Linked DNA regions of Coturnix japonica. Each later gene encodes a partner of the first gene's protein in a complex. Links are inferred from orthologs where the notes say so. Each region holds a gene or a part of one and is shown in the gene's direction. Other genes may lie near its edges.

Region 1 (7,739 bases):
AGGCTAATTGCTGAACACCTTTTATATCAACGGTGGTTCCAAAGATTTAGTAGCAGATTTGAATAATATTTATCATGCTAAAACTAATTTTGCTCTTTTAGCCTACAGTTGATTAATGAATTAATGATAAGACAAAAGGTGGTCCTAAAGAAAAAGTGGTGCTATAAGTGTGTTGTATTATGGAACATCATTATGCTTATTTATAAGGTTTTCTGATTAATCCCATTGTTTTCACAAGCCTACATTATTATTATTTTATTTAGTGGTTCTTTGGTAGTTATTACCTTTATTACCCCTCTGAATTTTATGGTTGCAGAGGTTTCCAAACCTGGTCTTTTACAGCTGTCTCTCTCACTTGCTCTCAGCTTCTCCCTGTTTACCCATTTAGCATCTTCCCTTCTTCTCAATATTTAGCTGATGATAGTCCAAATTATTTCAAGAACTCTTAGTGCTGCTGCCAGGGAAGCAGTAGTTCCACCTTGAAATAACATTACAGGAGGAAAGATACCACAGGGATTTCACAGACAAAACATGACATATGACTGAGCAGGACTGCTCAAGCAAATAAATGGTAAGACTGTTTTTCTATTGAGCAATCATGTGGCATATTTCATAACAGCAAGAAAGGAGGCAGAGAAAAGTTGTTAAATCAGAGTAGCGAAAGAAAAATGGAAAGGAAGGACATATTCACACAATTCATCACTACTGCCAATACCACAGTCTATTTCTCTTCAGCAGACATGTTTATGGGTTTGCTTCCCAAGAATGAAAACACGTTAAGTGTTCAGCCAAGAGATCCTAAGGCTCAGCTTCCACTTAACCTAAGTCTGGATCTTTAAGCCACCGTGCTTTGATAAAAGGTTCTAAATATGATATAGTAATAGAATAGTATGAAACTAATCCTCTGAATAAAATCAGTTTAATATGAAAGGACTAGTCTTTAACACAGGAGAAACTGCTGCCAATTTGTGCAATTAATAAAATCATAAGTCAGCAATAGAATGTTTACTATGAAGAGAGAAAATGTGCTTGACAAACCTTTAAGTTTGGATGCTGAAGCACAGTCATTTTGTTCTCTGTGGACTCCAGATCCATTTAGCTATCAGATGCAATGAAGCATAGAGTGGTGTTTGATCTATATTCACATTATCTAATATCATACAATAAGTGGCACTGAAAGCCACAGGACATATCTTTCAGAGCTGATAATTTCAGTATTTGGGGATTACTAATGGAAAATTATGGATTAGAAATGATATCAGTGTATGTGAAGAATTCAGATAACTAAAGTATCACATCATCATCATAGTATCATAGTCTCGTGCGGGTTGGAAGGGACCTTAGAGATCATCGAGTCCAACCCCCGGGATTCGAGCCTCCTGTGTAGCAGAGCGGCACTTCTACCACTTGCACCACAGGGGGGATTCGAACCCTGGGCCTGCGGTGTTGCAAGTGGCATTCCTACCACTGTGCCACCAGGGCACACGCAGTACTAGAGAGTATTCCAATTAGATAAACATTTTAATAGAGATACACCTGAATTTATTCCCCTCCCTCCCCCCCCTTCCCCTTTTATTTTTTTAAAGTGCTGAACAACCTGTAAATTCTTTGTAGGAGTTTTAAAACCACAAGTTACAGAATTTTAAATTGTTAATAAAAAAGGGGGGACAGGGTAACAAAATAAGAATTACTTTTCAGCATTTATTGTTCACATGCATATGAAAGAAACAGACTTAACAGACTTAAACTCTTGCACTGGTCTTGTTATAAATAATATAATTAAAAGATAAATCAGCTGTAAAATTCATCAAATTAATCTATTCTACAAACACATTTCCACAAATTAGAAAGCCGGAAGGGACTACTCTAATCATCCAGTCTGACCTCTTGCATACTACAGGTCAGACAACTTTTCTGAATTAATTCCCATTTCAGCTGGCACTTATCTTTTAGAAAAGCATTCAATCATCTTGATTTTCAAATATACTGCTAAAATGACTCACTTTGAGAAGTACTTCCCCAGTACCAGATTTTTGTGGCTGAAGCATATTCTAGCTCAGTTGATTTCTTCTCACATTTCTATGTATCTTCATCTTTTTCTATAGGCATACATCAGTTATCACACAAAGTTTTCTGCCTACAGAATTGTGATGGTGTTTGTGCATAGCTGATTATCGCTAATTTTTGGATAACTTGCCAGCTTCTGCAGGGTCATTGACTGATGAGAACAACAGAATCCAGCACTGACATCAGAAATACATGAGCTCAGTGATGGCTCTATGTTCACTGTTTCATTCTGGAATCTGTTTATTAGCCACTTTTTAACTTTTATAATGTGTGGCGTATTGATTTTTTACCATATATTCTACTTGATCAGAATGTACTGAACCAATAAGAGTAAATGTTTTACAGCACTCTAGGAATAGCACATTTGTGCTAAACTTATAAATGTGTATAATCAATCATTTATGCCTTTATCAATCACACTTACAATCTAGTTGGAAAAAAAAAAAAAAAAGAGCTCTAGGATCTATTTTTCATTAAACCATGTTGTTTCTTAATATTTGTCTTTTTATTCAATTCCTTACTACTGCTGAGCCAGTAGTATGGGTCAACTTTTTAATGTATGAAACAAGCTGAAAAATGTGTATAGCTTCCTTCTACAGATCACCAAATGGCCATATTCTGTCTGCTGTAAAGACCACAACAAACTCCTTAAATGTGTCTCGTTCTGTGTGACAAGTAAACCTGCATTCCCACATTCTCAAGAGAGCTTAAATGTCTTTTCAATATTCATACATTTACTGATAGAACCTCAGCTGTTTTCATTAGTTGAGGAGTGTATAATCTTTATTTATGAGGTTTGCAGTATCTACCTTTCTAGTTTGTGTGAGGTGTTGATCTTACCTCTGTATCCAAGTTTATCTCATTTTTTAATATCTTTGTCCTAAAAGGTTCATGTAACTTCCCTGTGGAATAGAAATGGGATTTTTTTCTTTATTTTATGGAAGGAAAGCTGTATTAAAGAGAGCAGGTTTATAAAAATGTGTGCCCAAAGGCAACATCTGGTAGAAGAATGCTGGATTAGACTTTGAAGGCATTAGGGAATCCTGTACGCTTATGAAGGATTCAGGAAGCTAAAGCGCTGTCTAGAGCTAAGCACTGTAGTGTTTATGAATATCTGGCTCTCTCTTAAGTTTATGCGTTGGAAGTACAGTCAAAGCAGAGTCACTTTCCTCTGGAAGTGCAGATAGATACTGAACTGAGTGAGATGTATCATTTCATAATGGAAATGGTGCTTATAGCAACTGAGATTTTCCCATTCATCTGTTTTAGCCAGTGCCCACTAGAGCTAGGTGTTCATGAACATCTGGCTCTGTGTTAAGTTTATTCATTAGAAGTAGCATCACACAACTTTCACAAAGAGACAAGAAAGTCTCGTTTTTCATAGCTCCCTTTATCCTGTGTGTCCTCTGCAGCAGCACGTCGAATTCACGTCCTTTCCCCTAGAGGTGATGCTCTTTCACGTCCAAACGCGGAAGAGCTGAAAAGTGAAGCAGTGGATTCAGAAGAGAGCATTGCAACCGTCTGGATGCCTTTCCCCTCGGCCGCTGAGGCTGCGCTCCCTGCCCGCCCGGGGAAAGGCAACGGGGCGTGTGGGGCCGGCTCGAAGCCCCAGCCTGGTCCCGCATTGGTTCCCGAAGTTCCCGCGTCATTTTCTCCCCACACCCCGCTTGGCACTGGCAATCACAAGTCTCAATGGAGGGGCGGGAGAGAGCTGTGGAGCGCTGAGAGGGTTCCTCCAGCCCCCCGGATCACCACCAGGGATGTCCGGGACTCAGCCCGAGGATGCTTCGCCTCCGTGCAGGAACTGGACGTCCTCTCCAGAGCTGAATGAAACGCGGGAGCCCTTTTTAGCCCCATCCGCCGATTACGACGATGAGGAGTTCCTGCGCTACCTCTGGAAGGAGTATTTGCATCCTAAGGAATACGAATGGGCGCTAATAGCCGGATACATCGTCGTGTTCATCGTGGCTCTCGTCGGGAACGTGCTAGGTGAGTCTGGCTCCCGAAGTTTGCCCAACCTGCCTTCACTCGCGGGGGAGATTTCGCCTCTCCCCGCTGCAAACCGCGGAGAACCGGGCTGCAGGGAGGGGGCTGCGGACCCCGGGGCGGGTCGGAGCTCGGAGCTCGGAGGGGCCGCCCGGGTAGAGACACCGCGGGCTCCGTCGCTGTCCGCGAGATGAGGTGCTGAAACAACGCGCCCCGGCTGCGGCCCCGCCTCTCATTCCTCCCGGGGCCGCCGGTTCCCCTCGTTCCCCGGGCTGGAAATCAAGAACGCGGGCATTTTCCAGCGGTTGTCTGTTTCTACAACCGTTTCTACAATGTTTTCTAACGGACGGGCACTGGGGAACGGCCTCGGGTTGACAGACGCTGGGGAGCGGTCGCGGGACCTCGCTCTGCAGCGAGGGGCCGGAGCGGCTGTCCGCCCTCAGGTCCGGTAGTTGGCGGCTCTTGCGCAGCCCCGGCGGCGGGGGCGGACTCCTTCCCTCCGCTCACCCCCCCCCTCCCCGCTCCCATGTACCCGTGTGGGAGGCGGCGGCGGGGGGCTTCGCCGCTTCCCCCGGGCAACGCTGACGGGGACAGGCGGGGGCCGTGTGGGGGCCGGGGGTCAGCGGCTCTGCGCTGCTCTTGGTCCCCCGCCTGATCTGTGACCGTGCCGTGACAGCCGTCCTCGCCTCGGCGAGGGGGAGATGGCCGCGGGGGTCCCTGCGCCATCCGGAGCCGCGCGGAACGCTTTGAGAGCGATAAATAACGTCTTTGTGAATGAACGTGCGCGTAGGGAGCGGAGTATGCCGTGAAAATCCTCTCCACCAGAGCCACGGCCATTTGCATTTTTCATTCCCATCACTGACATTCTCATGAACGGAGCGGCTCACTAGCGCCCAGCCCTGCCATGTGGGCCCTTCATTCATGAATTTCAGCACGTCATGCGCTCTGCCGGCGATCCAGGCTTCCCGAGGCACGATGCAAATAAAGCTTCAGCCAAAGACAACGTTTTTCACGGCTCTTTTTTATTTTTCGATGGACTGATGGTGCTATTTTTGTCTGGAGCTGCCGGTAAACACCTAGAGTGTACTTTGGCCAACCCATGGAGCCTTCACCACAAAGGCTGTGTAACAGCGTGTGTGCTGGTCAGCTGCTCTGCGCTCACAGTGAAAGACAGCTGCCTTCGCACAGAGCCTGTGCTTTGTACTAGAATGAAAAGTGCCTCCCGTCTGATCCTGAAAGAGGACAGCTTTTAGAACTGTCTGTGTTCAGCCGCCCCCCACTACCCATTCTGCAAACAAGCTGTCCTCTCGCCTTTCAATATTCAAGGTCAAATCTTCGGCTATTGGAGCTGTTTACACTTTTTCTTTTTTTTCTTTTTTCTTTTTTTTTTTTTCTCCCTGAAGCACGAGAAGAAAAGATTTCCTCTCTTTTCACTTGCAAACAGAGACAATATCATTGGTTCTCCTCCTTGACATGCCTACCTTATCTTTGTGCCTAGGGTGAAAGCTGGCATTTAGCTGTCCGCCCACCTCTCCCTTGGCAGGACTGCTTCTATCCAAGCCATTTGCCTTTGTGTATCACACAGATCTCACCCTTCAACAATGCTACCACTGTTCACTACCAGCTTGTTGGGATCTGCAGGTGCAGGTGCTCATTAGCTGAACACTGTCTCATCTTTATGCAAGAAAGCTGATTGCAGGTTCATTGGTTTTTGAGGAGAGAAACTGATGTGCTCTTGCCAAAGACATTTTTGTGAAACCTTGTTTATTTGATCAGCAGTGAAAATCTGAGAATGGTTCGTGTTCTTAAGTATCCAAGAAGAAAAATTTCCTGCATGAAAAGTTCTTACTTAAGGTTAATCTGTAATTTAATCTTGGATCTCCTCAAAGTAAACCAGATGCAGTTTTAGTGACTAACAGTGTTTCAGTAAAGTTTTAGCACTTTATCACATCATCCTTAATGATGTAGTACATTCCTCTGCTTAGATTTGACTAATGCATTTGGACTAGTGTGAGATGAGAAGTCAGAGTTTTGCTTGCATTTGTCCATATTTCACACAGTTAGCACTTTGGAAAGACCCTTGAAAATCTTAATATATGGTTATCATTTTCAATTGTGCATTCACACAGAATGAGGTCACTCACTGTGCTCTCAGAATGACATTTGTGCAAGTGGAAAGCACAGCACAACCCTTAGGTATTAGTAATGAACTACAGTTAAGCATTCTGACACTTAATTAACAGCTACGGTAGAAAGTTCGAACTTTGATTGACATTTACTGAGCTTTGGGCTGATCTGCTCTGCAGGAATTGTCCTGCTAATAGTAGCATACAGCAAGATCTGCATTGCTATTTTGCTTCCAGTTTAATTAGGAGAGTTGACACACTCTGTCCAAACTGCTGCACAAACCAGCTAAAATGAAAGGTGTTTGCAAGCCTCTGTGTTTGAATGCAGGTTTGATTACAGCATTCAAGTACTTCACATCAGTAATTCTTGTGTGTGCCCACTCTAGCTGCTCACCAGTGATTTCACTGGAAGCCACTAAAAAGGAACAGATTTGAAGGTTTTGAGACATTCAGATAAACTGAAATCATGGTGATAACATCAGTATGTTTTGTCCTGTTTTCTTTTTCATTTAGGCATGGTTTATCAGTAGAAGCAGAACAGTCACTGAGGATGAGGACTTTCTGTTTTTCATATAAGACCAAAGTATTCCCTTACACAGAAACAAAATCACAACTTCTTTGCAAAGCTAGAGGAAACCAAAGTACTTCTTAACAGTTGACTTTGAACTAATCGTCTACTTCTTCTCTATTTAAAACAAAAGTGCTTGAAATAGAAATGCGGGAAATTAAAGAAGGAAAGATATACTTAGTATGCATGGAGGTCACTGGTTATGGGCAGAAAGATTCCTCATGAAGTAGTTGCAGTGGTTAAAAACTGGAATAAGACTAAAAGGGATAAATAAGTAATGTCCAGCCCCACCAATTCAGCTGCAATTACACAGATAAAGAATGGGAATAGTTCTCATTTAATGTATTTATTCAAGTAGGTCAGAACTTTTCTAATGAAATGTTTTTCCTCAGGGAACATGCACTCATCACAACCAAATGGTACGGCAGAGATCACTTGATGTGTTCAAGGAAAGGACACAACACAAGCAGCCTTCTAGTGTCCTGCCAGCCGGGTTGCTGGCTCTCTTGGCACTCTCACTGCTGGCAAGGGCTGAGAGCCTGAGCAACCTGCCAGCACCCAGCATGAAGCTCTTCAGCACTGCTGGCTTCTGTGCATTGGACACCATGCAGAATATCATCCAGAGGACTCAGAAACCTTATTTATTCACAAAACATAGTGATATTTGTTTCTTTTTCCACCTAAGAATTAAATCCTGCCTAACTGACAGAGAACTAGTCTTCTCTGGATAGTTCTATTATTTTCCATCTTTTATAATAATCTCTTTTGCCATGTTATAGTGACATCAGTACAGAACCCAACTGTGGTCTCTTCCTCAGAGTTCACATTCTGATTCATAAACTCAGCACCATTCATTTGATGTTTACCTATTATTATTTGATTTTAGGACTATTTTCTTTCTGAGTGTAGAAGAAAAAATTGAATGTAAGGTTTTAACAACAAACTTCTAGTCAATGCTATCCGTAGGCAACTGTAACATTTCAGTGATTGCT
Region 2 (5,515 bases), on another chromosome or scaffold:
ACACGGCACTGTGGGGTCTGGGGAGAGGCGGCACTGGGCTGGGGGGGCTGGGGGTGCTCCTGGCCCAGCCCGACGCTGTTCTCTGCCCACAGAACGCGCTGGTCTCCTTCAAGGAGCTGTGTGGCCTGACGCCCGCCGCCAACATGAAGCAGTGCATCCTGACGGTGGCTGCATGGCTGCTGCACAGTGACAGCGCACCCAGTGTCACCCTCAACCTGGCTGAGCAGTACCCCCCCATGGAGGCACAGGGCCCCATCCCCGACCTGCTGCGCAAGGTCCTCACTGCCTATGAGACGGTAAGTGCCAGCTCAGGGTACTCAGGGTCTGTCCTGCTCCAAGGTGTTTGCCTGCAGCTCTGTGCACTGTGGTGTCCCAGGATGGGTCCCATCCCGGAGCAGGGATGGCTGGCTGGGAGGTGCTCTGCAGGCAGGGGGGGTGGGGAGCACGGAGGATTCAGGGTTGTGCAGCTCCTCTCACTGCCCCTCTTTCCTCAGATGATCCAGACCAGCCGGACGCTGATCGAGTCTGCTGACGTGGTGCACAGCAAGCTCATCCAGGCACAGCAGGCAGGTGGGTCTGGGGGTGCTGAGGGCTGTGTGCAGGGTGCTGTGCCTCTGAGCTGCCTGGGGACACTGTCCCCATGGGGATCTGCTCAGAACAGCACCAGGCTCTGGAGCTGTGCACAGCAGTGTGCTGGCATTTCAGTCTGTGCATTGCACACCTGCAGTGTATGGCAGAGTGCAAGTGGTGTGGGTGCCTGCCTGGCTCCAGAGAGTTTGTAGGGTCAGCCCAGGGCTCAGCTCTTTACCCTTCCCATGTCCTGGCAGTGCTGTGAGTGGTGCAGGGAGCTGCCCAGAGCCTGCAGTGAGGGAGTGCTGCTGGGGCTGGGGGGCTGGGGGGGGCTGGGAGGGAGCGCACAGAGCGGAGGAGGTTGATGAGGAAGCGGAGAAGAGTCATTAGCTGCCAAACGCCAGAATATAATTAGCATCAGAAATAACAGACTGAGGCTGACGGTAGAAGTGGCAACTGAATGTTATGACTTAAAAGACACATGGCTGAACCCACACAGGCAGGTGCTGCTGGCAGCCTTACCTGGCCCTGGGCCCCAATGCTGCCCAGCACTGCTGCCCCACTCCCAGCACCGTGCTCCTGGTGGGCACTAATGGGCAACGCCAGGATCCTGTGTACTGTAGAGGCAGCTGTGGCTGCTCCATAGCACTGCTGGCCCCAGGGCTGTGTGGGGGTAACCCGTGGGGCTGGAGGGCTGCCGGACACTGTATGGGGTGGGGAGGAGAGTGTCCACGCTGTGCCACACTGACCCGTGACAGCTGCTGCCAGCAGCCCTGTTTATTCTGTGGATGCATCGCCACATCGTCAGTGATGTGGAGCACGGCAAGGGGGCTGGGGGTGCAGGCTGGGGTGGGCTCTGCATCTCCTGCACTACTTTGGCTGTGGGAGCCCTCTGCTGTGCTGCAGAAATGAGCGCTGCCCTGTGTCCCTTGTTCTCCTTGGGGGCAGAGGTCTGGGATGTGCTGACCCCTACACTGTGGTCCTGCAGCCATGACCTCCATTCACTCCATGGTGCCATGGCTGAGCCACAGCATTATGGGCGCTGTGGGGAGGTCTGGGGGTGCCGGCGGCAGGGCTGGGGGTGCAGGGAGGGGGTGTGAGCTGATTGGCAGTGTGTGGGTGAGCAGGCGTGTGTGGGAGCCCTCGTGTGGGCCCAGAGACAGTGCTGCGTCAGGGAGGGGTAAATTTAGCACCCGCTCACGAGGACATCATGCGGTACAGTGTGGGGGCACACGCTCCAGAATGGGGGGGGAGGGGGCAACAGCTCCTCTTTGAGCCCCTCTGGGTGGGCTGCAGTTATGGGGGGGCAATGCCTCTGCCTGGGGCCACTGCAGCCCATCCTGATCCTATGGGCTTTGGGATCCAAAGCCAACAAGGACTGGGGGCAAGTTGGTGGGGGCTGTGCTGGAACATCATTCTCTAAGGGGAGGAGGCTCAGGGCTGCTGAGGCTGACCGTGAAGTTCTCTGTTGGGTGAAAGACACCCCATCCCCATCCCCATCCCCATCCCCTGTGGCAATGGCTGTCCCCACGCACGGTGGTGCTGAGCACGGCTCCATGTGCCACATGCCCAGGTATGGACTTCCACAAGGAGCTGCACCGCATCGAGGCCAAGGAGGGGCTGCGGGGACGGAAGCTGCAGAAAGCACTGGAGAGCTTTGCCTGGAACATCACCGTCCTGAAGGTGAGAGGAACATGCTCCTGTGCTCCTGTCCCCCACTGCTGACCCTGCTGGTGTGCAGGGAGGTGGGACCAGCATCAAAAGATGCTCCAGAAGCACAGGCTGGTTGTGGTCCATGATGAGCCGGTGCCCAGTACATCCTTGATCCCCTGATGTTTTCTTCCCCCGGCAGGGCCAGGCTGACCTTCTCAAGCACGCCAAGGCGGAGGCGTTGGACAACCTCTGGCAGATCCACAACGCTGGGCAGTCCTGCGGCATCGGCAGGAACGGTTTGGCCTCGCCGGAGCCCTCCCGGCTGCGCGCGCCGCTGGAGCCCATCCCTGAGGCAGAAGGAGGCAGTGATGCAGCGTCCTGCTGACCCCAGTCTGGGGCTCAGGCAGCCCCCACAGAGCAGCCACTGCTGCAGGAACAGGGACTAGAGAACCTGTGGCACAGTTGGGGATGGGAGCAGGAAGGATGCTGAGGGGCTGAAGTGGGGCCAGCACAGTCATTTGCCTGCACTGCAGGGAACTGGGGGGGGGCTCACTCCTGTCTGTTCACTCTGACTTCCCAGGCCTCTTCCATCTGCTTCCAGAATGGGTGCTGTGCAGTGGGGCCAGAGGGTTGGGCTGCTGGCACCCAGCTGTGTGCGTGCACCCCCAGCCTGCTGTGCCACCCCCCTCCCCATTAGAACCGCCCCAGCTGTGGGCTTCGGCTGTCAGGGCTGCAGATTCTGCCTTTGCTGGCCCTGGAGACAGCCTGCATGGCCGGAAGGGGCTTGACCGACCCCTGTCCCTTCTCACAGGGTCTTCCCAGGTATCCTCAAGCCCCTGCTGTGCAGAGGGGCTGGGAAGGCACCTGTAGAACAGCTGGCAATGGGTCAGGGGCTGTGGGACCACTGCAGAGCGGAGCTGCTGGGGGCTGTGTCCTCTGGCATCAGGGAACTTATCCCGGTCTTGTCCCACAGGGGAGCACACCGCAGGTGTGGGCGGTGGGTGAGGGGTGGTCTGGGGCTGCAGAGCGCTCTGTTTATAAAAGTGTGTGAGACCCACAGCGTGTGCTGCTGTCCCTGTCTGTGCTGGTGGCAGTGGCGATGCGGGCACCGTCCTTCTGCCGGTTCCATTTGCACCGTCCCCGCGCGTCATCGCGGTTCGCAGCCGGCGGCTGCCCGGCGCCCCTTTGTTCGGGCGGTAATTAGCCTAATGGGGCCACGCGGAGCTGACCTGAGAGCTGCCGTTGTTGGGAGCGGTTGGCGCTTTCTCCGGCTCTGACCTTCACGCGGCTTTGTGGGGCCGCGGGTCCCTCGGGTAATTATGGCTTCATTAGTGCCGCGCACCCCGGTCCCGCGCCGCACCCGCATAATACAGAGCCACAAATGAGGGGAAAGGCCTGACCGGTCTCCAAGCTACCGACAACAAAGAGCGCGCATCTCCCGGAGACCGGACGGTATTTTTGGCAGCGCTATTGTGCGGGGCCGGGGGCCGGGAGGGGCCGCCCCTATAAAGCCCCGGTGTGCGGCTCGGGGCGGCCGCGCTCCTCAGCCCCAGCGGGACATGAGCCAGCACCGCTTGGCCACCTGAAGACACCCAGAAGGATGGAGGTGCCCAATGCCAAGGTGGGGCTGGGGGTGGGCAGAGGAACTGCTGGGGTTTTGTAAGGGCTGGGCCGGTTCCCTTTTGAGCAGAGGTCGGGGGGCTCGGCCCTGTGTGGGTGCGGGGCACACGCTGCATGCGGCACCGTGCTTTGGCACGAGCCATGTGTGGGTGCTCCCAGTTCCTCCTGCAGCACTCAGCGATGACGGGAGGGTGCTGGCTGTGTCAGCACAGGTAAGTGTCGGTGAATATACCTGCAGCCAACTCCTGCTCACAGTGTGCTTTTTAGGCTGGGTTTTGGGGGCAGGAGCGAATCTCCTTGGGGTCCCGTCTGTCCCTGGATGTGCCCCAGGGGGGTGATGCTGTGGGTGCTGCAGCAGCGGAGATGAGCAGGAAACCTGCAGGGTGGGGGCTGAGCCCTGCACCAACGCGGCCGTTCTCGTGCAGCTGCAGCGATCCGCCTGCCTCCTGCTGCTGCTGCTGCTGCTCTGCTCCCTGGCCAGGGCCCGGCAGAGTCTGCCCGAGTGCTGCCGGCAGAAAACCTGCTCCTGCCGTATCTACGACCTCCTGCACGGCATGGGCAACCACGCCGCCGGCATCCTCACGCTGGGCAAGAGGAAGAGCATCCCGACAGCCTTCCAGAGCCGGCTGTACCGCCTGCTGCACGGCTCCAGCAACCACGCGGCGGGCATCCTCACCATGGGCAAACGCGAGGAGCGCCCCGACGCCGCCTGCCGCGATGCGCTGAGCTGCGCAGCGGGCGCTCAGCAGGCGGCGACCCCGAGGGGAACTGCGGGCAGCCCCAGCGAGTGCCAGGAGCACGCGGAGAAGGACCTGACCAAGGGCTGGGGAACGGCAAAGAGCTTTTACTGAGATGGGCTGCGGGGTGGGGGGGATCCGCGGGGGGCTCGGTGTCAATGGCACTTCTAAATACCTCCTTGTGGCCCTGGCCAAGGCTGCTCGGCGTACTTGGCCTTTTACAATAAACGGTAGCCTGATGTCAGCCGGCCTCGTCCCTGCAGGAGCCCGGAGGGCTGTGGTGCTGCTGCCCGGCCCGAGGATGGATCCCGCCCCTCCCGGGGGCCGTTGCAGCCGGTACCGAGCGGGTCCCGGGGCAGAGCCGCGCGCAGCCGAACAGCTGCCGGTGCCCGTCGGTGCCGAGACCCCCCCGGTGCCCTGGGCGGGGCTGGGGGCGGAGCCGGAGCCCAGGGCGGGCCGGGCCGAGCCGGGATTACCCGCGCCGTTGGGGGCAGCACCTGCGGAGGGGTCCTGGGGAGGCGGTGCTCGGTCCCGCAGCCCGGGGTGGGCGGCCCGGAAGGACGATGCCAGTGATGAAGGGTCTGCTGGCTCCGCAGAACACCTTCCTCGACACCATCGCCACCCGGTTTGACGGCACACGTACGGCTGCGTCCCGGGACCGCGGCGGAGGGCGGGCAGAGGGAGGCGGTGCTGCTCGGGATGACTTCGAAGCCCCCTGGGCTGGGCGGGTCGCGGACCCCAAGCTGTCTGTCCCTCGGCCGGGCTTCATCTACCCCGCGACGTGCAGCCCTCGAGCCGGCCGCGAGTGTCCCGTCCCCTTGTCGGTGTCCCCGGGAGACCTTCCCGGGGCTGACGGGGGTCTCCGCGCCCTTCCTGCACTGATTGCCCCAGGAGGGAGCGGGAGAAGCTCATGGCTCACCGTGCAGAGGGCAGGG

What was found.
Region 2: the proteins of HCRTR2 (region 1) and HCRT are in contact, whole or in part, in a cryo-EM structure (PDB 7L1U), measured with the Homo sapiens proteins. The link is inferred for Coturnix japonica from reciprocal best matches to the Homo sapiens genes HCRTR2 and HCRT. Residues at the interface, in NP_001371201.1 of Homo sapiens: Thr111, Val114, Trp120, Pro131, Gln134, Thr135, Val138, Gln187, Val209, Cys210, Asp211, Phe227, Thr231, Ile320, Ser321, Asn324, Lys327, Arg328, Phe333, Ala334, Thr336, Arg339, Val342, Tyr343, Phe346, His350, Tyr354; in NP_001515.1 of Homo sapiens: Asn89, His90, Ala91, Ala92, Gly93, Ile94, Leu95, Thr96, Met97.

The regions. Positions count from the first base shown.
Region 1 is NC_029518.1:80,004,897-80,012,635, reverse strand, and holds the start of HCRTR2 (orexin receptor type 2), read left to right. Parts: upstream 1-3,322; 5' UTR 3,323-3,827; coding exon 3,828-4,056; intron 4,057-7,739. UniProt on the Homo sapiens protein: Nonselective, high-affinity receptor for both orexin-A and orexin-B neuropeptides. Triggers an increase in cytoplasmic Ca(2+) levels in response to orexin-A binding.
Region 2 is NC_029542.1:4,470,368-4,475,882, reverse strand, and holds HCRT (orexin), read left to right. Parts: upstream 1-3,397; 5' UTR 3,398-3,823; coding exon 3,824-3,844; intron 3,845-4,268; coding exon 4,269-4,694; 3' UTR 4,695-4,824; downstream 4,825-5,515. Other genes in the region: GHDC (GH3 domain-containing protein), read left to right, coding at 93-296, 495-570, 2,144-2,253, 2,423-2,608. UniProt on the Homo sapiens protein: Neuropeptides that play a significant role in the regulation of food intake and sleep-wakefulness, possibly by coordinating the complex behavioral and physiologic responses of these complementary homeostatic functions.